Drosophila melanogaster: one gene and its partners. The protein of the gene in region 1 purifies or fractionates together with the protein of each later gene. This does not show direct contact. Each region holds a gene or a part of one and is shown in the gene's direction. Other genes may lie near its edges. The genes, in order: Pez, Su(dx) and kibra.

Region 1 (7,868 bases):
TGTCGCGCACTTTGGACACGCACTCTAATGTATTCCACGTATACCAGCGCTGGCGGCGTAGCATCGCCTGTGCGTCTAACGGTAGTCCGTCCGCTTCCGCACTTGTCTTAGCGGTGCAAGGTACCGCTCTAGCTGGATGTTCCGCCAGCGCCGCCGGTTGACATTGAAATCGCGCATCTGGTTTTAATCGATCGTACCTTGGGACGTTCCCGTTGCACTGACAACTACGACTACTCCGTCGATCACTTGCAGTGCTGCACTGGTGCAATTAAAGCTATGAATTCGATTGGATCCGCCTCTGTGGCGACGCAACGTGTGTTTCGCGTTAGGGAGCACTGCTCACTGACCGCCGGGAGCAACAGGTTTTATGCACGCGCTTATCGAATGCCGTCGCCGGTCGAGAGATATGATGAAAACGAGTAAAAGCGTTCGAAATGCGCTGTTCCCAAGCAAATACTCTTTGAGCGGCGCAAAATAACGAAATTTGATTTCCAATCACTCGATTAACACCTTTACCAGCCGTTGTTCCAGGAAATCGCCAATTGCACTAAGCAAAGGCTTTGGTACTTGTCAATGTGAAATCGGATTAAAATCATCCCAAACAAAATACATTCCCTTTCATTAGGATTCAGTTTATGAAGTACTTAAAGATTTTAATGTACATATACGGTTTGTATACGTTTCTTTACCCGAATTTATAAAAAAAAGCATAGGAAATGCAAATTGAGAGGGTTTACTTAAGCTAGAGTTTGGGTTTTGAAATGCACACTTGGAGTTCAATGAAATTCGCCCCGACTGCTTTGAGTTTTAACTAGTGCCGAAAGCATTTTTACTAGAACTCTCAACTTAAGCAGTTGGAAGTTTGAGCTGATCCCAGGTGTTATCTTTTGTTTTGTGGGGGCTTAAGGAGCTCTACTGAATTTTCACCTTGAATTCGGGTTTGACTTAATGCTTTAATGTTGCTAATGCGCCGCTACGTGCGTGAACTTTGTATAGAGTCGCGTAATAGTTCTTGTTGCTGTGGTCAGCAAAAGGCAGAAAATAAATATTAAACACATGCGAGGCATATGCAAATCGACGCCAGTATCGTCATTCTCGTCCGATTTCGAGGAAGGTATGTGTTCGACGCTCCCGATAACAACCAACACTGACAACAAGTGGAGGTGAACATAAAATTGGCGTCTTTTTATAGGTCACCCATGTGTGCTGTTCGATTGACGGAATGACGACAGCGCAATGATTAAATTGTGTTAGGAAGCACACATATATATCACGAAAACCAACAAATGTTCCAAAAATGTTAACATAAATTCGGTTTCTTTAGTTTTTTTTACGAAACAATAGATCCTAACTCGTTCAAATGTGTATATGTTTCCTCCAAAAACACTCTTTATTTGAGTGCTTCTTTTTCTAGTTTACGACTAAGTAGTTAATCTAAATGAATGAGATGAATGATCTTGGTTATTTCTGCTTAGCCATCTATTCAAACAAAGTTTACGATCTAGTCACAACAAACGCCCATCTAGTATCACCCTACACACTTGTAATGTGCGTGATAACGCTTAGAATCTCGCTTGGCATATGTGATTTTAAAATTCCCTAAACACGATGACACTCTCGAATTACTCGTCCGAATCGACGGAGAATTATAAAGTAAGCATGACTATGCATATTTATTTCGCGCCCAAGTGGCTTTCGTTATCATAAACCTAGTTTGGCTGTCTGGAAAGGATGAAATGTAACTCCGCGCTCACTTTAACCGAAGTCCATTAAATGTAATCCCATTACGGAACCTGCCCTTTTAATGGTTCTTTAATTGGAAGAACTAATAGTCTAGCTTTAATAGGTAGGTAACCCTATAATGGGGTGTCATAACATATAATATAATATATTTATTTAGTTTGTCTTTGAACTTGAATTTCAGAGAACTAATTTTTATCCATAAAAGTTCTTAGGAAGTGTACAACAATGTACAATTTTTATATTTTAACTGATTTATATATATGTAAATATGTATGTACGTACATACCTAGACTTGCAGTATCTCCTACTAAGTTCTTAGTTCTTTCAAAATGGAACGATTTTACAGAGTTCAGTTATACAAGGCAGCAAGAGTATACACACTTCGGCTTTTCGAACTAAGCCACTTTCAATTTCGTTGTAGTAAATTTTGATACTAGGATTTTGTTTACATCGTCATTAATGTGTGTGTGTTTAATTAGCATAAAACAATATATCGGTTGGCTTTTTTCACAAATTGTTTTTAATAAATTGGAAACTAAATGCAACGCCAACTCCAATTGGAAAATGTGTAAAGTTGGTGTACTTAGGATTTTCAAATGTTGATTTTTTGAATAAGGAAAGGCAGGTTAACGGAAATTAAGAACATAGCTTCGTCGCTCATATCGAGTGCTTACTGTACGGGAAGCAGACAGTCGACAGCTGTTCTCAGCGGAGAGCCACGAGCAGAAAAGTAACTTGATGGCCGATTGGCGACCCGAGTCGCGTTTTTGGTTATGCAATTCGGCCTACGACTCGGTTTGAGACGTGAAAGGCGGCGATACAGCGTGCAAATAGCGCAAATTAATAACAGAAGTGAATTAAATTAAATTACACGCAGCGCGGACGGAGTGAGCGAGAGCGCACTATCGCACGGGCGGCGGCGAGGCTGTGCGAGAGCGAGAGGGAGAGGGAGACTGGGCGAGCGCAGCAACAGGTACTGAACTTTAAACTCGCTCGCAGGGCTCTTCTGTGTGTGTGTGTGTGTGTGAGCGAGCGAGTGAGCGATACGGTTGCTCCATCATCTGTCCTCGTCGCTGCAACCTTGACCGCCAATGCAGCGCTCGAAATATCTAAGCAGCAAATTAATTATGGACTGGATTTCGATTTTGGTAATCGGGTTTTGCTTTTTGGATTTCGACAGTGCGTGGCCTTGTGATTCGGCTCCTCGAAACTCACCGATCGCGATCTCCGACTGCGCTGCTCCTAATCCTCTGTAGATAGACGACGATCGGTGGATGTGGATGTGGATTTGTGCCCCGTCTCTGGTGCTCTTCCTGTTGCAGCCCCTCTCAGCAGCTTGGCAGACGTCAAAGCCCTTGATTTAAATTCGCTTTATTCAGTTACGCAGCGGGGCGAAGCCACGATCTTAATTTTAATTCGCTTTATTCGATAAAACGTTGACGGAGGGCGGCAAGTGCAAAGGGGAAGTGACGACTACCACGGCAGCAGCAGTACTAAATTACTGAATTCCAGAGGGACCGTCGTCGAATCGCGGTGTGGATTTCTCAGTTGCGCGCACTTTCCAGCACTGGAGTTGGAACGGATAACAGAGCTATGCCAGCACGCCACCTATGTGTCCAGTAGCTCTGTTAAGTTTGATATTTTACTGTTCGCTAGAAACCGTTATTCTCTTGCTGTGTACAACGAAGTATTCGTGTGTATCAGTGGTTTTAATATCTTTAGGAATTTTATTTAATCACTGCTGACTGCATTGTTATATATTTTAAAATATAAACTGTTTTGTTTCAGTTACATATTTCTTGGTTGCACTTGTTTTCTTTAACAGAACTAAACCTATTTTCTTGCAGCCCACTGCGCAAAGACATACCGATAGTCAATGCCGCCTATCGATCCATTCGATGCCAGCCACCGAGATACTCAGTCAGCACCTGCGTATCGATATCAGCACTTCGGTCTCTTCGTTTTATTTCTCGTGAATTCCTTTATTTATTGTCGTTAACTGCCCAATTACTATCTTTAACTTTACTTAACCAATACGCGCAGTGCTCTGGTTTGCGTGTCTAATCAGCTGATTCAAATCGGCTAATTCCAATTGAGCAATTTACTCCCCCAAAAAAAACCTGTGGTGTCGATGGTGCTGCCGTTTTAGCCACTTTTGTGAGCCCAGCGGAGCCCCGGTGGAGCAAAATAGTCGAAAAATGCCATTGAAATTCTTGAAAAAGTGTCGCCAGTACAATGTTACGTCCAAGAGTTTGTTTGTTATATCAGTGCATCACCTGCTGGGTGAGTAAGCCCCACATTCCTAGAGGCGCTACGCCCCCCACAACAACAACAGCGACAGCAACGACAACAACAACAACAGCAATAGCAACAGTGGAGACGAGACAATAGAAACAACAAGAAATCGGTGACAAAGCCACAACTTAACAGCTGCCGTCTGCCATTGCAATTGGGATTATTTAATTGGGAATGTGCACAACGATTGTCATGCGGCGCCCACTTCCAGTTTAGCTGGAATTCGCCTTCCAAGGCACAGACCACAAAAATGCCTTCACTTGTTGCATTCTAGTTAACAGTCGCTGAGTTAACAGAGGCGCACAGGACACATAACAGCGACCGTTAATTCTAAAACTAACAGACTGCCTATGAGAACTTCCTAACTTTGCGTACTTCACATTTTGTATATTATTTACTCTCGATTTTGGGCTAAACAAAAGCATGTTTTGTAGTTCTTATACACTTAACCGAATGTACTTATTTGGCAAGCGAACTGAAGACCTTGACTCAATTAAAACCACCCAAATTTCTCCAACCATCAGAAAGGTTTTAGACATTAGGCCTACGTTTCGTTAGTTAGGAAATACGACAGATGAGAGAAGCCAATTGAGCGGCGCCGCCACAATTTCCGTCCATAAAACGTATAAGGTCTCGAAAGAGATTATAAACTTTATTTGCATATTTGCGCGTGCGACGGGCAGGGCCAAATTGTTGTTGTGCGGCGAATTTAGAGTGCTTGGAGCGACTTAGGCCGATGTTTGAAGCACGTTTTCACTCTTACCTACATTGCAGACACATCCAGCACAGTGGACTGCACGATCAGCTCGGAGAGCAAGGGACAGGAGTGCCTGGACAACGTTTGCCAACGTTTGCTAATCCAGCAGCCGGAGTTCTTTGGACTGCGCTACCTGGTCAAGGGCAAGGACAAGGAGGACGAGTTCAAATGGATCGACCTGGAGCGCTCGCTCAGTCGGCAGCTGGAGAAGTATGCGGCGGGCCCCAAGATCTACTTGCGCGTTCGCCACTACGTGACCACTGGCGTGCGCCACTTGAGCGACGAAGCCACGCGCTTTTACTACTTTCTGCAGCTGAAGAGCGACATCTACGAGGGCCGCATCGCCTGTGACATCCGCACGGCCATACTGCTGGCGCTCTACTGCCGCCAGGCGGAGTACGATAGCTACCAGGGCGACAAACAGAGCAAGGACTATCTGAAGAAGTCGCTGGTCCTGCCGCGCAACATGCAAGGCCTGGCCAACGATGACAGCATGCTGGAGGGACTGATCGTGGAGGTCCTGCAGCAGCAGGCGGGCATTGCACATCTGAGTCAGAGCCAGGCGGAGGAGATGTACATACAGTGCTGCCAGCAGCTGGAGGGGTATGGGGAGGAACGTTTCGCCGCCAAGGACACGCTCGGCAATGATTTGTTGCTGGGCCTGGCCATCAACGGGATGGTGGTGAACGCGGACAACGGTCGGCAGTATTTTCCATGGAAGGAGTTCCACACGGTGACCATCGACAAGCGAACGATTAAGATCGAGCAGAACAAGCTGGATGGTGGCGGCAGCATCGTGGGAAGCTTTATATTCAGCGAGGCGGACACGGCACGTTACTTCTGGAAGCTCACCATTAGCCAGCATAAGTTTTTCAAGCGCTATATTGACACGGCCACGCCCTCGAGCCTGGGAAGTGGTGCGGATGCGGAGAGTGGTCCGTTGGGCGTTGACAGCGTTGGTTATGTCGACTACGATTACAATGAAGCGGCGGCCGCCGAGCAACTGCAACAGCATCATCAGCAGCAGCAACATATGCAGCAGCAGCAACAGATTCAGCAGCAGCAGATGATTTCCTCCAACATTTCGCTGGCTACCAGCGCTAACCAGATGTTGGGACAAAGCAGCTCCTGCCTGGATTTGAGCAACAACAACCTGCACAGCAGCAGTGGCATGTTGCACCACGGAGGCAGCAACAACAACAATAACAACGATGAGCGGGAGCGCCTCAAAGCCATGCTGCCCACATACCGCCCGGCACCAGACTATGAGACGGCGGTCCAACTAAAGTACCGCACACCATCGGCGGAATTCCACAATGTGGCACTGGCAATGGCCGCGCCCGGAAATGCCTACTATGCGGGCTCCCAGCCTGATGTACACAATCCAGGCATGCACAACGAGAACTTACTGTATGGTCATATGACTGCGCATCGTTATCCGGACGTGGCCCAGCCGGCGGCTGCCCTACACCACCACATCAACCTGTACCAGGCACAGCATCAACCGCAGTCACATCCACAGCCCATGAGCCCCGCCCAGGCATACCTAGAGCTCTCGCAGCGCATGCATATGATGCGTCACAAGGCCCCACCGCCGTATGTCAATCGGCTGAGTTCCTCCTCCACGCCCGATCTGGCCGTGGCCACTCCCCGTCCCCTTCAGGGTTTCCGCAACTACGTAAGCGGCTCCTCGCCGGATCTAGTCTCTAACCGCACGCTCTTCAATGGCGGTCAGTACGTTGCTCTGCCCGCAGGCGGACATGCCGGAAATATTCCAACATCTTCCGGAGCCACCATGTTGCACCAGTACCAGTACGTGAGCCACATGGGGCACTCGCAGCCCTATCTGCCCCCGCACGGCACCTTCGAGAACCTCAACATGATCGAGGAGCAGCCGTCTATAATGTCCCAGCTGCGACAGTCAGCGATGAGTCAGGCAGCAGCTGCAGCTGCCGGATCTGTGGTAACGCAGAGGTAAGTGTAATGAAGTCGTAAAATAAACAATATAACAATACTTTTCGCTACGATCTTGCAGTTCACCTACCCTGCCGCCGAGTGGATATCGTAGTTCTGTGCCCCCGCCAGCGAGCAGCCCGCTTCCACCGCCGGTGGTTGCTTCGTCCCATAAATCGGCGACACCGGCGCCACTACAGAGGAGCTTGGTGAACGGTTCCATCGAGCCCATCTACGAGAATGTACCCCTGCCACAGAGAGCCTCTGGTGGCAGCAGTGGTGCCGCAAATACTGAGGCTATGCGTCAAAGAGCTTCCTCCATACAGTCCGCCCCAGGCGTTGTCCCTGTTCCAGCTGCTCGAAACGCCAGCTCCAACAACGTAGTTACTGTAACTGTCAATTCTCCACCCGACGATGGAAACATAAAGAAGTACGGCGCAGACCGAGCAGCAAGCACGGAGCTGCTGTTCCTGGAACCGCAGGCTCCTAAGCGGACCAATCGAGCCGCCAGTGCAGCGCCAGATATGGGAGCCACACCTCCGCCACGACAACATCGCTCAACAGCAAGCCTAAACAAGTCGTCGACGGTCGACATGATCACGCCGGCCGGAGACACGCTGCAACAGCAGTTCAGTGCCATGAATCTTTCTGCCAACACATCAGCTTCCACATCCTCCATGTTCAACTCAACGCTGGACACCACGTCCTCATCGGCGGCCAGCAAAGACTTAAAACGCAAGAAGCGATGGAACTTTTTGTCACGCAGCAAAACACCCGACAAACAGAAATCCGCCACACTGGGCAGGGAAAAGGCCACAACGGCAGGTCAGCACTCCAAGCTGGCGGCAAAGCTAAAGCTAGCCCAAGACGATCTCAACCTGCCAAATCGTTGGTCCACAGGCGTCAACAAGCCGCAGCCCATTTCTGGACGATATTCCAAGGACAAACTGGTAGGTTAAAAGTTATTACGATTTGGAATCCATTTCGATTAAAGCGCTTGTCAACTTCCAGTGCCAAATCCTAGACCAAAAGCTAAGTGACTCGCAGCTATTCATGGAGTTCGAACGCATACCGAAACGACGGGAGCATGCCCTATACGAATGCGCCCTGCTGGAGGAGA
Region 2 (7,868 bases), 4.3 Mb from region 1:
CCCGGATTGGGCAGCACTTTGGGCAGGTTTTGTGCGGCGATCATTTGCTTGGACAGCTCCAGAACCGTCTTCAAGGTGTCCTCCGATATCTTGGGCTCATGATCGCTGTACTCGTGACTCTGGTGGCTTACATACGAACCCTGTTCCTGGCTCATTCCGTAATTGGGCGGCAGGGCAAACATCACAGAGCCTTCGGGGCGATTCACCACTATCTGAGAGTTGGCATATCCCTGCCCGGTGGTTCCATGCGAGGAGTAGGGCACGGCATTGCTGAGCATTAGTTTCGTCTCCGGTTCCAGGCGATGGTGGCTCAGGTGCTCCTGCAGGCGGGTCTTATTCGAGGTGGGTTCCGGTAGCCTTGGCTTTATTTTGGGTGCTTCTGTGGTACTGGTGGTGGTGGTGATTGTGGAAGAGGTCTGCTCCATGGGGTTCATCATCTCATACCGGTTCTTGATGTCAAAGTGCGCCAGAAAAGCATTCAACTGGTCTGGTCGCATTTCCGTCTGAGGTTTATCTGTCTTCTGGTAGGTCTGCTGCAGTCCATCAATCAGTTGGGACAATCTCTGCAGGTGAGCAGTCAGGCTGGGATCGATGGGCGATCCCGGCTTGGCTATTTCGCTGATACCAGCCACCTGTTTAAGTTCCGTTCTTAGCTTTTCCACCTCTGTTCTGTGCTCCATGCTGCTGGAAGTCACCTCCTCGCGGTTCTCGGGCTTCAGACCAGCGGGGGAATCCAGTTCCACCAGCTCCCCATCGCCGCTCGAGTCGAAGTTGTGATTGGAAGAGAAGTCCTCCTCCGGCTGCGGCTTGCTCTTGGCCGCCTCCTCATTAACCTCATTCTCCTCACTGCTCAGTGTGGAGTCTAGAATTATTTCCACGGTGCCATCGTCCTTGTGACTGGAGTCGCTCAAAAGCAGACCCGCCTCGTCCATGTCGTTGACTATCAGTATGTCCGCGTCCGGCCTCCCAGGTGGCGACTGCGTGGAGCTCATCTCACTCGGGGTGATGCACTCCCAATCCTCGCCAGGCAGAACGCAGCTGCCCAAACTGGACTCGAACACCAATCCCTCGTTGCACTTCACCGGAATCCAAACGTGCGAGTTGGAGGGCAGTTCCCGGCACTTGTAGAAGGCGTCGCAGCGGGTTTTGTGGGGGCGTGTCTTTTCGGGGCACGGCTTGCCTGCGTTAAGCCAGTGCGGAAATGGGAAAAGGAGTAATGTTCACATTAACATGGGAAAAGCACTTCGACTTTAGCGGAGATTTCCGAATAATAAGTTTTGGTTTTCCTACATGGTTTCATTTTGTACATATTTTTAAAGCAATGGAAGGTGCTATTCACTTTCTTGTAATAATTGTAACTATTCATTTCAAGGCATTTTTTATTTTTTAGGATACTTCAGTGAATTACGTTTATGAATTCATGAACACTTTCCTTTGAAAGTAGGAAAACCAAAACTGATTTAAATCTGGCACAATACACTTGCTGGTGGAGTTTACCTTCGGAAAAGTAAAACAAGCCCGCGACCAACGCGTAAACCAGCAGCTGCCTCATCGCGTATCCTTTTCGCGTATCCTCTTCGCGTAATCCTTCCCGACCGTAGTGCGAAGTCCGTAGCCGTAAGTTCCGATCTGCTCCGTTCGAAGCCCGCGATACGAATGACTGCGGATGCGGAGCGGTCGGCACATTAAATTTTGATAATTTTCACTTTGAGCCGCGTTCTCTGAAACTCTTGACAATGTGTGAAAAAGTCCGAAAGCGAACAAACAACATGGTATACGACGAATTTTCTTGGACTCTCCGCTCTCAGTGCTCGTATTTAAAACGAGTGCTAATAATTGTTTAAACAAATAGTTTTTGTGCTACTGGAAAGATCGGAGAATCAAGGAAATTTCACTTTTTGTGCGCAGTTTGTTTGTCTAAAAGTGCAATATAACGTGAAACTGGTAAATTTAGTAACCATAAAGTGAGTAATAGAGATAAGCTAATGAAGGCTTGAGGGATTGAATAAAAAATCACAGGTGTTACGGCATCAGCAAAGGTTTTATTATTCTCATGTGGTTTCTATTTAAATCATACATTTAAATCTTCCTCCTCGGTCTGGCAAATGAACCGGAAAGTATAGTGGCATGGGTAATCGTACATTTCCCCGTTGTATAGGAACACGCAGTTGAGGGTGTCCAACTGAGAGGGTCTCCCCGAGGCCCATTTCAAAAAGGTAGTCTGCTTGCCCGTGGGCATGGACAAGAATTTTCCCTCGTGGTCCAAGTCATTGATTCCCAGCCAGTAATGCGTGTCCTCCTTGAGATTCGCCTTGATGGCGGCTAGATCTGCCTCGTCCTTAATGTCGGCCAGGTGCCCTCCCATATTGCGACAAGTTTTTGAAGCAGTGGACCAGTTCTTCTCGGATACTTTCTCTATGTAATAGTACTTTGAGCCGATTTGCTCGAATCCGAGGTATTTTATTTTGGTTTTTACTTCAAGGACTGTTTTCTCCAGGGCCGACAGTATGCCTTCCATGCAATTCAGTCGTTCAGTAAAGTTCTGTTCGTTAACATTCAGTTTTCTGCCTTGGGCATCCAGTGCGACTTCAATGCTTAGTTGCTTATTCTGCAGAGCAGTCAGTTGGCCTTCCATCGTGTACTGTCTCACCAGGACCTCGTTAGCCTTGCTTGAATTATTGGAATTCGCCAGATTTTGGGAAATGGTCAGGTGATTTAACACGGGCGTAAGTACACCCAGACAGAATCCTCCACATTGACTAGGAGGGTCCTTTAAAGGACAAATCACATCGGATTCTGCCCAAGCTCCATACAAATTTAAAGCAAGAAGACCACATAGCAAAGCACTTGCGGATTTTAGCATTGTAAGCACTTTTTACTGCCAAACACTATGTTATTCGATGAACTGAATCCGCGCTTTTATATTTATTCAATAGCACCACAAAATTAAATAACATTTAAAGAAATTCAATGAGCAACGCAACTGAGTAATGAATATTCAGGGGGCTTCTAATTTATATGGAGTAATAAGCTTAGATTCCAATAAAATCAGAGGGGCCAGAAGTACTAGCTGGTGCATAACTTTTTGGCTAATTATTTACCTTTGTTTTGTTGTGACTACGGGCAATACGTTCTTATTTTTATTCCTAATTCCTATTCGCGGTCATTTTCAAATCTGGTTGGCTACTCCATTTTGAGCTTGTACGGCAACTCTGGTTGAACATGTAAGTTGGCAATATAGCGAGTACGCCAACCCAGTCTAGCGTGCATAACAAGCCTCGCCAATTGAATTCAACCTATCGATTCGCGCACTGAGTGGCCACATCAGTTGTATCGAAAAACATCGTCCAAAGTTGCAGCTCTAGAAATTGCTGCTTGCAAGCGAAGCAAAATAACAAATAAACAATTAGTGCAGCGATATCAACTGCTCGCGATTACGTGGACCAAAGCGAGGGCGGCAGCGCCAACTAGTGCAATAATCCAGCCATCAATTTTGGGGCCCGGGAAACCCAGTTAAGAATCCCGCACACACACTCGCACATGCAGCCGCACACAGGAGACAACAACCACACACACAGGCGCAAGTTGTAGGAGCACCAGAGGCAGAAGAAGAAGCAGCAGAAGGTAAGACACAGGTAGAAAGGAAAGGAAAACGGAGGAGGAGAAACCCCCAGAAATTGCTAAAAACAAAAAGGAACGCCTCTTGCATTGGAATTCGCCAGCGGTAGAGCGGCGGCAGCGAGTGCGAGCGGGACGGAAGTCGCGACCTTTGCCTCAATTACAAGCGCACACACACAAACACACACACGCCCACCCACAGAAGGAGTGGGAGTGGGAGAGGTAGTTACCTTCTTTCTGGCGTGCGTTACATGACCACGAATAAATATATATCTACACATATATATGTGTGTACTGTAGCATAGTGGCGCTGTGTGGGTGACTAAGCCCTGCGGTCGATAATTCAAGGAAGTTCAAGTTCCCCTCCCTCCACCACCCCTCCCCATCCATCGAGCGAGAAGTGCATTCTAGGCTTATTGACAGCTGTTGCTGATTACTTCGCTTGGCTCGCGCTCCGGCTGCCCCACCAGATAGCTTCCCTTTGTTCATCGGCCCACTGATAAGCGCTCGAATGATAGGCGAAATGAGCCGGAAAGTGCGTGCTAATTGATCGGAGAACTGTGTCCCATTCAGATCCATGCAAAGCCCTTCCAAATCGATTTCAATCCGGTCACAGAATCTGATGAGTAGACACTAATGGTAAACAACAAGCTGCACTTGCTCACGTGTTCTCGGTTAATTAATGTAGTGAAAACGCTAGCAAAAGAGAAATCGCGAACGGTACACAGCGAGAAAATCATGGTAGTTATCAGCATGCCGATAAGCAAAGCGAAGAAGTCATTAAAGCATTGAGATTTCAGTTCTGACGATATATAACAAAATAACTTATTTGTGGGCTTGTGTATCGCCATATCGGCCATGTTGCTTCCTGCACACAATCAATATGCAATAGCCATTCAACAATTGAAACCGAATTCACTTGCCGTTTTCTTTTTCGCGTTGAGCCGATGACTCACATGGCAACATTATTATACAATCTATTGTGTAGCGGGGTGTTTGCTATCAAAGTTATGGATGACCAGCAATCGGTGCTGAGTGTGTACGAAAAAGTACAGGGAAACACACACGCACACAGCCGTGGCAGTCGCAAATTATGGAGAAAATTAATAGGCGATAATACGGTGCTTCCCAGTAGTTTAAAGTCCACGAAATCAAGTGCACTTATCAGTGCATTTATATATTTATTTGGGGGAATTTCTATAGTAATACAAGTTTCTTTCAATAATTTAGAACTCTAGCCTCACTTAGTCAAAGAATATATTTTGGGATCAGAAACATTACTCAGTTTTTTAATAAACTGTTTACCCAGTTTGGTCATGATTAATTTCGCTTGAAATAGCATAATTTTTATCTTTCATATATGACCGAGTTGCACTGTACATACATTAGCGCCGATTTTACAGCTCACAATTTGTTCGAGCAGTTTATTTCACCAAAAAAGTGAAGGCCTATTCGCAAACAGTTTTGTTGCCATACTGTCGTTTACACACTATATAATACACAAAGCTATACAGGCCATATCTTATCTGCGGATAGTCGCTTTCATAATGATATAGAGCTGGCATTATCTGCCTTCTAAGATCAGGTGTATAAGTAGTCGAGAGCTTAAAGCGACTAAGGAAAACTGCATAACACCTAAAAAGTGCTTAGTAAATCACTCAGGGTTCCCATAAAGGCCTGTTGGTAATCTGTAAACCTAGCAAAAGTGTGTACAACACTTTTATTCGGATAGTTATTTCCACTCTATAAAAGCTTCCTGTTCAACAGCATTGTACATTTTTGGGTATTGATAAACCATTTACGTATGTAGACCGTGTTCCGGACTTATCTTATCAGTCCAGAACACGCAATTTCCCCCCATTCGATACTTTCCACCACCAATATTCAATAGCAGCGTGCTCAATACTGGCTTTCTCTTCACTCAAAGGGAGGAATATAAGGCGGAGGAGGAGGCGGAGCACCAGGAGCACTCACACACTCAGCCACTAAATGGCCGATGGAAATGGGCTGCCAGCGGGTGCAGCTTCCGGCGGCATGGAAGCCGGGCAGACAGTGAATGGAGCGGGATCCGCCAGCCCCACGCCCACCTCCAGCTCGGGGGCGGGGGCCAGTGGGAGTGCCAATCAAGGATATCATCAATTAAGCGTGACAAGTGAGCAAACAAAAGAAAGTGAAACATTCTGTTCAATCAATAATGGCCCCAAATCCTTTCAGTCGAGGAGGCTTCGCTGCGCAACAATGGCTTCCTCAAGCCAAATCCCTACGTGGAGCTCTTGATTGACAGCAAAAGCAAGCGGAAAACGGACCTGGTGAAGAACAGCTATTTGCCCAAGTGGAACGAGGAGTTCACAGTGCTGGTGAGTAGAAACAGTAATAAAAGTCAATTATTTGTAATATCCACGGGATCTATCGTCTCTAGATTACACCCAATTCAACGCTGCACTTCAAAGTGCTGGATCACTCCAGTTTCCGTAAAGATGCCATGCTTGGAGAGCGGATCATCAACCTGGCGCACATTCTGCAGCACTACAATGGGCGGTGCGAGTTCCTTGAGCTGACCATCGACCTGTTCGTCACCAGCAAGTCGGACAATCGCCAGACGAAGAGCGGCGAACTAGTGGCCATCCTCAATGGCCTCAAACTCGATATGAGCAAGCTGCAGATTCAGCCAGTGGCTGGCCAACAGAATGGCAATCCACCCGTCCAGGCGGTCAATCCGTCGGTGGTCAGTGATGCGGCCGCCGGACGAAGTTGCATGATTTACGGTGGAGTACGGGCACGGATGCGACTACGCTCGAGCAGTGGAAATAGCAACGGCGGAGAGACCCGCTCTCCTCTGCCGAATGGAGGTGGAGATCACAGGAGATCTACGCAGGCGCCCCCGGTGTGGGAACAGCAACAGCAGCAATCCCAGAATCAACAGCAGCCCCTGAGAATGGTCAATGGCAGTGGGGCGGCCGTGCCGCAGACAGCTCCGTATCCTCAGCAGCCACCAGCTCCCGCACTAGCTCGTCCTCTAACCCAAGTGTACGGAGCGCTGCCAGAGAATACACAACCAGCTGCTGTTTATTTGCCAGCTGGAGGAGGAGCAGCAGTAGGACCACCTGGAGTAGCAGGCCCACCAATTGAACAGCCAGGAGTTGGACTGCCCGTGAGCCAAAGCACAGATCCGCAACTGCAGACACAACCAGCGGATGATGAGCCGCTGCCTGCAGGGTGGGAAATCCGTCTGGACCAGTACGGTCGCAGATACTACGTAGATCACAATACACGATCCACATACTGGGAGAAACCGACACCGCTGCCCCCGGGCTGGGAGATCAGGAAGGATGGGCGCGGTCGAGTTTACTACGTAGACCACAACACAAGAAAAACTACCTGGCAGCGGCCGAACAGTGAGCGTCTGATGCACTTCCAGCACTGGCAGGGTCAGCGGGCCCACGTCGTGTCTCAAGGCAACCAGCGATACCTGTACTCCCAGCAGCAGCAGCAACCAACGGCGGTGACAGCCCAGGTGACGCAGGACGACGAGGATGCACTGGGTCCACTACCAGATGGCTGGGAGAAGAAGGTAAAGCCGTTTGTCTAGATTAGAAAAAGTATTTATTTTAACTCGTTCCTTTATTTACTTAATCCTTACGCAGATCCAATCGGACAACAGAGTGTACTTTGTTAACCACAAGAACCGAACCACCCAGTGGGAGGATCCACGCACGCAGGGCCAGGAGGTGAGCTTGATCAACGAGGGCCCGCTTCCACCCGGCTGGGAAATCCGCTATACAGCCGCCGGTGAGCGCTTCTTCGTAGATCACAACACGAGACGAACCACCTTCGAAGATCCTCGACCCGGTGCTCCGAAGGGCGCCAAGGGAGTGTACGGAGTGCCACGCGCCTACGAACGCAGCTTCCGCTGGAAGCTGTCGCAGTTCCGGTACTTGTGCCAGAGCAACGCTTTGCCATCGCACATCAAGATCACGGTGACGCGACAAACCCTGTTCGAGGATTCATACCACCAGATCATGCGTCTGCCAGCCTACGAACTGCGAAGGCGGCTCTATATCATATTCCGCGGCGAGGAGGGACTGGATTATGGTGGTGTATCTCGCGAGTGGTTCTTCTTGCTCTCCCACGAGGTTCTGAATCCCATGTACTGCTTGTTTGAGTACGCGAACAAGAACAACTACAGCCTGCAGATAAATCCCGCCTCGTACGTGAACCCCGATCACCTGCAGTACTTCAAGTTCATCGGT
Region 3 (7,868 bases), on another chromosome or scaffold:
GCGGTTATATTTAATTTGTATTGAAAAATGCATATATTTTTATACTTACTGCTGCATTTATGGGCACGACGCTTACTGCACATGATTTTCCTTTAAAGCGGAATGCAAAAAAAACAATGCAAATTGTAAACAAAACGTCATCACGTTGGATAAGATACTTTTGCTTAGGCACTTGCACTTGCCCTCCCACACTTGTTGTTGTTGTTGTTGTTTGTTGTTATGCATTAGATTTAGAAGCTGTATAAACAAATTAGAGTCAAGCCCCCTTTCTCAATTTTTGCTGCAGTTTGCTGGAGGCACTAATAGTAGCGATGTTTTGATTGCATTTTTGCAATGCTGGTTAGTCGGTTGGTTGGTTGGTTGGTTGTTTACACACGAAACCGAAAACCCCCAGACGAAAACAACAACAACAACAACAACGTATAAAATAGCAGAAACCGCAGAAAAGATAATAATAAAATAAAAGCAAACAAATCAATTTTTCGACTGCAGTTGCTCTATTGGCTAAAAATATACACAAATGTGCAGAGAAACAAACCCGCCAGTTGCCAACGTCAGTTTTCTAAGGCGGAAGAATATGAGTATAGATCTTGAGCATCGTTCTTGTCCTCAATTCAAATTAAGTTTCGAATTGCCGCTAATCGATAGGGTTTCCTCCATTTTAACTAATTCCATCTTAAATCTCTTTTCGCAGCTTGATGGCCAACTGGTTGCGGATTCGGTGGACGCAGCGCATCAATTTCCGTCCAATGAGGAGCCCAATATTCTGGGGCATGGACCCAACTACGACGACAAGCTGTCCAAATTCAAATGGCTGTGCAATTTCGATGATGTGAGTTAACCCCACGCGCGAACTTTGGTAGGGTCAATTTGTCGCCAATTGTCGCGCACTGAATTCTAATTGATCGCAAATTTTGTTTGGCGAATTGAAAAAATACGTCAGAATCAGGGACAAATCGCAGAAAATATTCACTCATTGCATTTTACATGGCTTTAACACTGATTTTGGCCAATTGTTATCGTCATACGTATGTATGTATGGCCAGAAAAGCATTATTAAGCGACCGTTGTAAAATGGCCAAAACGCTTAAATATGTGAAATCCGCCATGGCGGTCGAGTTGGCAGCAATTGCCAAATAATACAATTAGACAACGAACAAACCCACCAAATGCCAACTGAATCAAGGTCGCGACTAGCAACAAATAAAAAGCTCTGTGCTTCGCGGGCATTAAATATTTAAATAGCGGTGGCAAATAAAAAGAAGCTACTGTTGTTTTCTTTGGGTGGTATGCAAGTTACATACATATATGTTTGTGAAAATCCTCAAGGTAACTCCCGAATCGAATTTCTTGGGTTTTTCGGACCATGCTTAGTTTTGACCAAGTTAAATATTCGACTTCGAACTGGGCTTAAAACGGGCTTGAAATAATTACTGTTTCCGATTGAAAGGCATTAATTAAGGTAATAATACATAAATGCAGTGCAAAACTAGCTTAGCACTTGTTTAACTAATTAAATGGATTTTTTATAATATATAAAACTTAGCTAGTTAAATTCAAAGAAAGTAAATAATATACACAGTATTTGGCATTTAATCAATTCCCATACAAGATTGCTAACAACACAAATTGGATTAATTAGTTTTATTTTCTTTCAATTGAAGCAAATGGAAAGCTTTTTGGTTTTTTTTTTTTACATTCGGCGGGGTGCCAGATCCTCGAATTATTCCGTTTGTTTCTATTTTATTTTGTCATTTTGTCTATTTGGTTTTTATTTTATTTTCAATGCTACACGCATGCGATTTGCATGTCTTATCGGCTTGGAAAATTTTGTATTTATTTGGAATGTTTATTCACTTGTGCTTTCGATACAGGCCCCCAGTCACCTGAAGTTCAACCCGTACATTCGTCGCGGATACCGCACCTTTCTACCTTCCACAAAAATGTGCCTGCAGAGCATTTTCTGGTGGACCAATGAGACGGTAAGATTGCCACACTAGAATGATACTCCATTCCAATTGGAGCTACAATAGTTTTCCTTAAACTCTATTCCCTATTATTATAACATTATTATTGCTATATTTTTCATAGATCAACATCTGGAGCCATCTGGCCGGTTGCATCCTGTTCATTGGACTGACCATCTTCGATCTGCAGTTCCTGCGCCTCCACGCCTCCCTGAGCGACCAGGTGCTGGTGGTCTGCCTGCTGGTCTGCTTCTGTCTGTGCATGCTGATGTCCGCCATATACCACATCTTCTCCTGCAAATCGGAGGAGCACTACGAGCTCTTTCTGTCCGTTGACTTCCTGGGCATTTCGCTGTCGCTGGTGGCCATCTATATCAGTGGCATGTACTATGCCTTCTGGTGCCACACCTTCCTGCGCACCCTGTACTCCACGATTGCACTGGGCATGTTCGCACTGGCCATTGCCGTGCAGATACCCCGTTTGAATGTGTCCATGAACGGCAAGGTGGCGGTGCTGCTACTCTGGTCTGCCTATGGAATCATACCTCTGGGCCACTGGGCGGTGGCCATGGGCGGTCTGGAGAACGAGCTAGTCAGGGTAGGCATCAGTTGGAAATTTATGGAATCTTGTCATTTGCTAATCCATCAATCATTACCATTTGCAGCTGATGGTGCCCCGCATCGTGCTCATGTACTTGCTCTGCCTCGTCGCCTTCGTTTTCTATGCGGCCAAGATTCCGGAGCGCTGGTTCACCGGCAAGGTGGACTTCGTTGGGCATTCGCACAACTGGTGGCACCTGATCATCGTGGCCGCCTTCTATCACTGGCACAACACCGGACTGGTCTATGCCGAGTATCGCCTGAATAACGGATGCACTGCACCAGTTCTCTCCTAGAACTTGAAGATCCGAACATCTGAGTTAAGATCCGAAGATCCGAGGAGCGGAGATGGAATCCGGGACTCTAGTAGACTAAAGCTTAGTGTAAATAGTTTATGGGGCGCTCTTTATCCGCTAATAACTAATATTTAGTTGTAGTTGTTGACCGATATGATTAATTTATGTTTAATTTACCAATTAGTTAGGGTTTCGTGTTAGACAATCCAGATCCAGATAGTTGGCATCGCATAAGCGGCAAAAAGGTTTCTCTCTTTATATCCTAATTGATTTCCTTTAATATATACAATTAAACAATGTCAATGAAATTGCATGTGTCTTGAGCTGAAGCTGTGTTAGTCTTGTTGACTCAATTTTTACAATTCATAAAATGCAAATACAATATCAAACGTACAAAGCAAGCGAAATTGTGGTTTTATTGAAGTTATGTTTCGGAAACATAATTTATTTTTCTATCTATGGTTGGGATACATATTGATTTCGAAATGCGTAACTCAGTTTACAGTCTTTTTTTTTAAATTTTTTCTTTTTCTGTTTTTAAAATGTAACGGAAATGTTAGGATTAAGATAACAGTAATTGTTAACAGAGCGAGTTAACATGATCTATCGGAACTGGCTTTGATTAACATCGCTTGAAGAACCGAACTAGTTCCTGTTACCAAGCCGATCTTTGAACGTACAACTCCTATTTTCTTCCCTCAACAATTACACCTATGCTTGGGGACTACACAAGCCAAATAACAATAAATACTTTTCGTGCATGATTGTTAAATATCGCATCTCTGCAACCGCGTCAATACAGCCTATAATATCGATATCAACCAATACATCGAATAACATCGCCGCGAGTGTATCGATATGCAATGCGATGTTTTCTGCTACACCACTAGCAGCGAATGTTACCAAAACAAATTCCGAATCCGAATCGGACGGTCATCAAGCGCGCTACTCGTGTTTTTTGCTGCTCCCCCAAGGAATTCCGGAACCGAAGAGATCGGCGACGGCGCGAACTCACTAAACTGAAGTACATATTTTTTTGTGAACACCAAGTGGATGGTTGGATTATCGTCGTTAATTAGTTTCAATTAGGCGAAAATAAGAAAATAAGTAAAGGAGTTCAAACGCTTGCAACAACAAGAAATGAAAAGAAGCAGCACCAACTGTGAGCAGTGATCGTGTGCGCTTGTGTTCGTCCCCCATATGTGTGCGTGTGTTTGAGCTGGAATGGAATGCAGTTACGAAAAAAGTAAATAAATAATTGAGAGCGCGCCCGCGCTCTCCCGCTCTCTCTCCCCTGCGCGCGTGTGTATTCGAGTTGGCTCGGTGTGTGCCTCTACGCCCGTCACCGTGTGGCCGTGTTGTGTGTGTGTGTGTGCGGGTCGGTCTCCATTATCGCCGGAGCAAAAGAAACGGAATTGAAATGTCTTTGCTAATGTAAACAGCGCAAAGAGAAACCCCCCGAAAAAAGAAGCAAACGTAGATAGCAATAGCGAAAAGAAAGAAAAGGCGCGCGTCGGGTGAAAAATCCAGCAACAACGACGTTTTCTCAGACTAACCAAAGTACACGGCGAGAAACAAAGTTAAAATGCCGAATCTGCAACAAACCGCATCGCAATCGCAGCATCATCTGCATCCCCACCACCTGCGACCCCAACAGCAGCAACAGCAACATCATCATCATCATCAACAACAGCAACAACAACAACACACGCATCATCAGCAGCAGCAACAACACCACAGCGACTTCCCACTTCCCGATGGCTGGGATATCGCCAAGGATTTCGATGGCAAGACCTATTACATAGATCATATCAACAAGAAGACCACCTGGCTGGATCCCAGAGATTGGTAAGTGTTCCGGAAAGGGTCAATTAAAGAAACGAAATTGAAACAAGGGCGATCTGAAATATAATTATAAGATATTTGCATTTGGAAAGTTAGTTTAAACTTATTAAAACTACTAGAACAATTATCAGAAATGAGGCATACATAACGAATGACCAAACCAACAGGTTGTGTTTTAAATAAGTTATAGATGCTTTAACATCGCAAACTATCAAGAGTGCTTATAAACCCCAATTGCTGCTTAATGGCTAATAAGTGAAGCAGATAACTCATTGAGAATCAAATTAAAATAGAATAAAATTCTTGGCAAGTTGTTAGTGGCTTAAGAAGGCATAAAACGCAGGTGAGAGATCAGCAGTTCACTCATTCAGGAAGCTCCGGCAAACGAGCTAAAAAAAAAACCCATATAAATTCCGATTCCGAAGCGCTCTTGAACCGGAAAGAAAAGGTGCGTGCTGCAGCTGTGTGTGTAAAGGAATGCGATCGGTGGAGGCGAAATGAAGCAAAAAAAAAAAAGAAAAATAAAAGGAAAATAAAATAAAGAGGCAGCAGCAAAATAAATTACATATTTTAAACAAGACAGCAGCGGCAGCAGGCAAAACAAAACGCAACGGAACGGGGGAAAAACTTGGAGTAAACATTCCGATGCGATGATTAAGACTCCGAATATAACTGAACTGAACAGAGAGTGGCAACAAACAAAAAATGGATTGTAAAGCCAGGGAAATACAACAACAAAAATTCGAGTGAGAGAGAGCAAAAGTTAAATAAAGCTCGGCGAATGATCTGTAAAATAAAAGGAAAACAAAACCAACAAACTCATACGTAATGAGTGCGAGAGAGCCAAAGGAGAGCGAGCGAGAGCGCTGGCGATCAGGCCATGTATCTCATAGATACATTTTAGTTTGCCGTTCGCTCACATTTTTTGTCTTCCATCTCGCTCGCGCCCCTCGCTGCCGCCCCACTCGCCATCTCTGTCTGTTGCTTTGCCCATAAACAATTGCAAAATGTACGTAGGAATTTTTGCAGTTTCGAAATAATTGATTTCTGAAATTCTTCGCCCTCTCTTTCGCTGAGTTCAATTTTTCGCTTTTCACAGATAGAGAAATGTGTAGTGTTAGATGGATTTTGTATCTTCAATTGCTCGATAGCAAATGCTTATTGCCTTTCTGCAGTTGTACAGCATTTTCATTGACATTAGACACACTCTATAATTTCAATATCACGTTGCAAATGATTTATTAAGCCATCAAAGCTTGAATATTAATTTTTTCCAGTGCATTTCTATCTGTGTACGCCTTATTGTTTCAGTTCGTTTGGTGCTGTGTGCGCTTCACGCTTTCAATTAACACAAACATTCCCTTTGTTTGTTTCAAATCGCATGGACATTGTTGAAAATGTTTCACTGAATTAAGCGTTGTGGAATTTCAGCTCTTCCGCCCGCCCGCCTTTGAAATTGAAACGAAACATCTGCGCATTTGCTAGGGTTATGCATCAAGTAGATTATAAATGCACACATGTCGTTCAAATGTCTGCCAGTGGGCACAAAAAGTCAGCGATCTATGAGCGTTACGTTCCGATTTCGGGGTTATAGAAATTTAAAGCTTAAATGACCTTAGGGGATTTACTTACTATTTGAAAAACCAATCAGATTATGAAGAGGGATACCATAGAATATAAGAAATAAAAACAAGAGTAAATGTTTTATTGGTATTTTCTGTATACATCTGCAAAGTATGTCTTCGAATTTAACTAACTATTCCATATTTTTCCAAAATAGTTTTACCATTTCTATTGACCAAACAAAACTATTTAATGCTGTATACACCCCTTATTGGTATTTTGCCCAGTCGCGCATATTTTGTATCCAAATCATATACGCTTTTTGGTCCCCTCTTCGGCTGTCTATCGATCCCCCGCATCCAACTTGCTATTGCTATTGAATTTTCAAAATTGCTGCCGGTAGCGCGCAAAAATTCCAATAAACCATAAATAAATTTCTACAATAAAGCGAAGCGAGCCAGGCCTCGGGCAACCTTTAAAGGCCTCGCCACGTTTCGAGCACAGCCAACAGAAATCACAGAAAAAATAAATATCTATTCCAATATGAGCATGCAAGGTCGAATTATCGATACCCTTGAAATATTTTACCGATAATTGCTTGGGCCGGCTTTGACGCAGGTTTTTCTAAGGTTTTCTAAAATTAAATAAACATGTTTGCAATAGTTTAACAGTAGATTCTGTTTGTAATGTCTATAATTTTCAAATTCGGCTTAAGTTTAGGCATTATCCTCATTAGATAGTAAATCGTGTAAGATTCAATCAATTAATTAGATGACTTTTGTCTGTAAACTAATAAAATGACTGATCAAAATAATGGATTTTAAAATTCGCAGCGTATTCAACTTAAGTAAATGTTCATACAGCATTTCGACGGGCGGTATTTTTTGTGATTTTCGTTGCTGTTGGCTCTCTTTTGTTTTTTGTATAAACAAAAGTTAACAACGACTTGACTTGGCCATGCGATTTGGCATTTTTTCGACGCCCGTCTTCTTCTTTCGTTGCTCATATTTTTTCGCAAGTTTTTGTGTATTATTTTTTTTACCAATTGTTTAGCCATAAACAAGGCGGCGACATAGTGGAATATTTTTCGTGTGCGTTTTTAGACAGAAAACGTGTTTGGTGACAGTATTTCGATCTATTCATAGGAGCTACAAAAAAAAGAAATAACCAAAAAAGCACGGGGAAAAAATCAAAGTATGAAATAGCAACAAAATCGTTTGGCTACCAGTTGGGATAGTGATTCGAACTCGTTTGTTTTACATAAACTCAAATCGCCGCCAAAAAGGCCTAGCGAAAGCGGTTAACGATCGCTGTCATAAGTCGGACAGAGTGGCGCCAGCGGCGGGGGCTGTACTTGAGTATCTGCATCCGATCGGTAGCACAGAAAAAGATATAAAAAAGCAATAGGTGCACCGCAAGAAACGGTGCAACGGTATTCTAATAAATGAGTCAGTTCATTGGTATATCTTACTACATTAACTTAACCTTATCATCAGTATGTTGCCATATTTCTCGCTGTGTACTCTAGTCCCAACCAGATTGTTGCGTTCTAATTCCACCTGTGGCATTTTAATTCGAGAGCGGACAATCGAGCGGT

What was found.
Region 2: the proteins of Pez (region 1) and Su(dx) purify together in Drosophila melanogaster (affinity purification with western blotting; one study listed by BioGRID). This does not show direct contact.
Region 3: the proteins of Pez (region 1) and kibra purify together in Drosophila melanogaster (affinity purification with western blotting; 2 studies listed by BioGRID). This does not show direct contact.

Annotation. Positions count from the first base shown.
Region 1 is NT_033779.5:6,334,216-6,342,083, reverse strand, and holds the start of Pez (Pez), read left to right. Parts: upstream 1-3,412; 5' UTR 3,413-3,436; intron 3,437-3,590; 5' UTR 3,591-3,941; coding exon 3,942-4,026; intron 4,027-4,812; coding exon 4,813-6,769; intron 6,770-6,830; coding exon 6,831-7,698; intron 7,699-7,759; coding exon 7,760-7,868.
Region 2 is NT_033779.5:2,034,385-2,042,252, forward strand, and holds the start of Su(dx) (suppressor of deltex), read left to right. Parts: upstream 1-3,329; 5' UTR 3,330-3,840; intron 3,841-4,143; exon of another isoform or gene 4,144-4,257; intron 4,258-5,348; exon of another isoform or gene 5,349-5,420; intron 5,421-5,545; 5' UTR 5,546-5,607; coding exon 5,608-5,770; intron 5,771-5,832; coding exon 5,833-5,975; intron 5,976-6,037; coding exon 6,038-7,189; intron 7,190-7,262; coding exon 7,263-7,868. Other genes in the region: CG42296 (uncharacterized protein), read right to left, coding at 1-1,180, 1,498-1,552; lectin-22C, read right to left, coding at 2,072-2,863.
Region 3 is NT_033777.3:14,720,154-14,728,021, reverse strand, and holds the start of kibra (kibra), read left to right. Parts: upstream 1-3,760; 5' UTR 3,761-4,448; coding exon 4,449-4,711; intron 4,712-7,868. Other genes in the region: CG7530 (uncharacterized protein), read left to right, coding at 695-832, 1,875-1,982, 2,092-2,565, 2,633-2,863. UniProt on the Drosophila melanogaster protein: Regulator of the Hippo/SWH (Sav/Wts/Hpo) signaling pathway, a signaling pathway that plays a pivotal role in organ size control and tumor suppression by restricting proliferation and promoting apoptosis.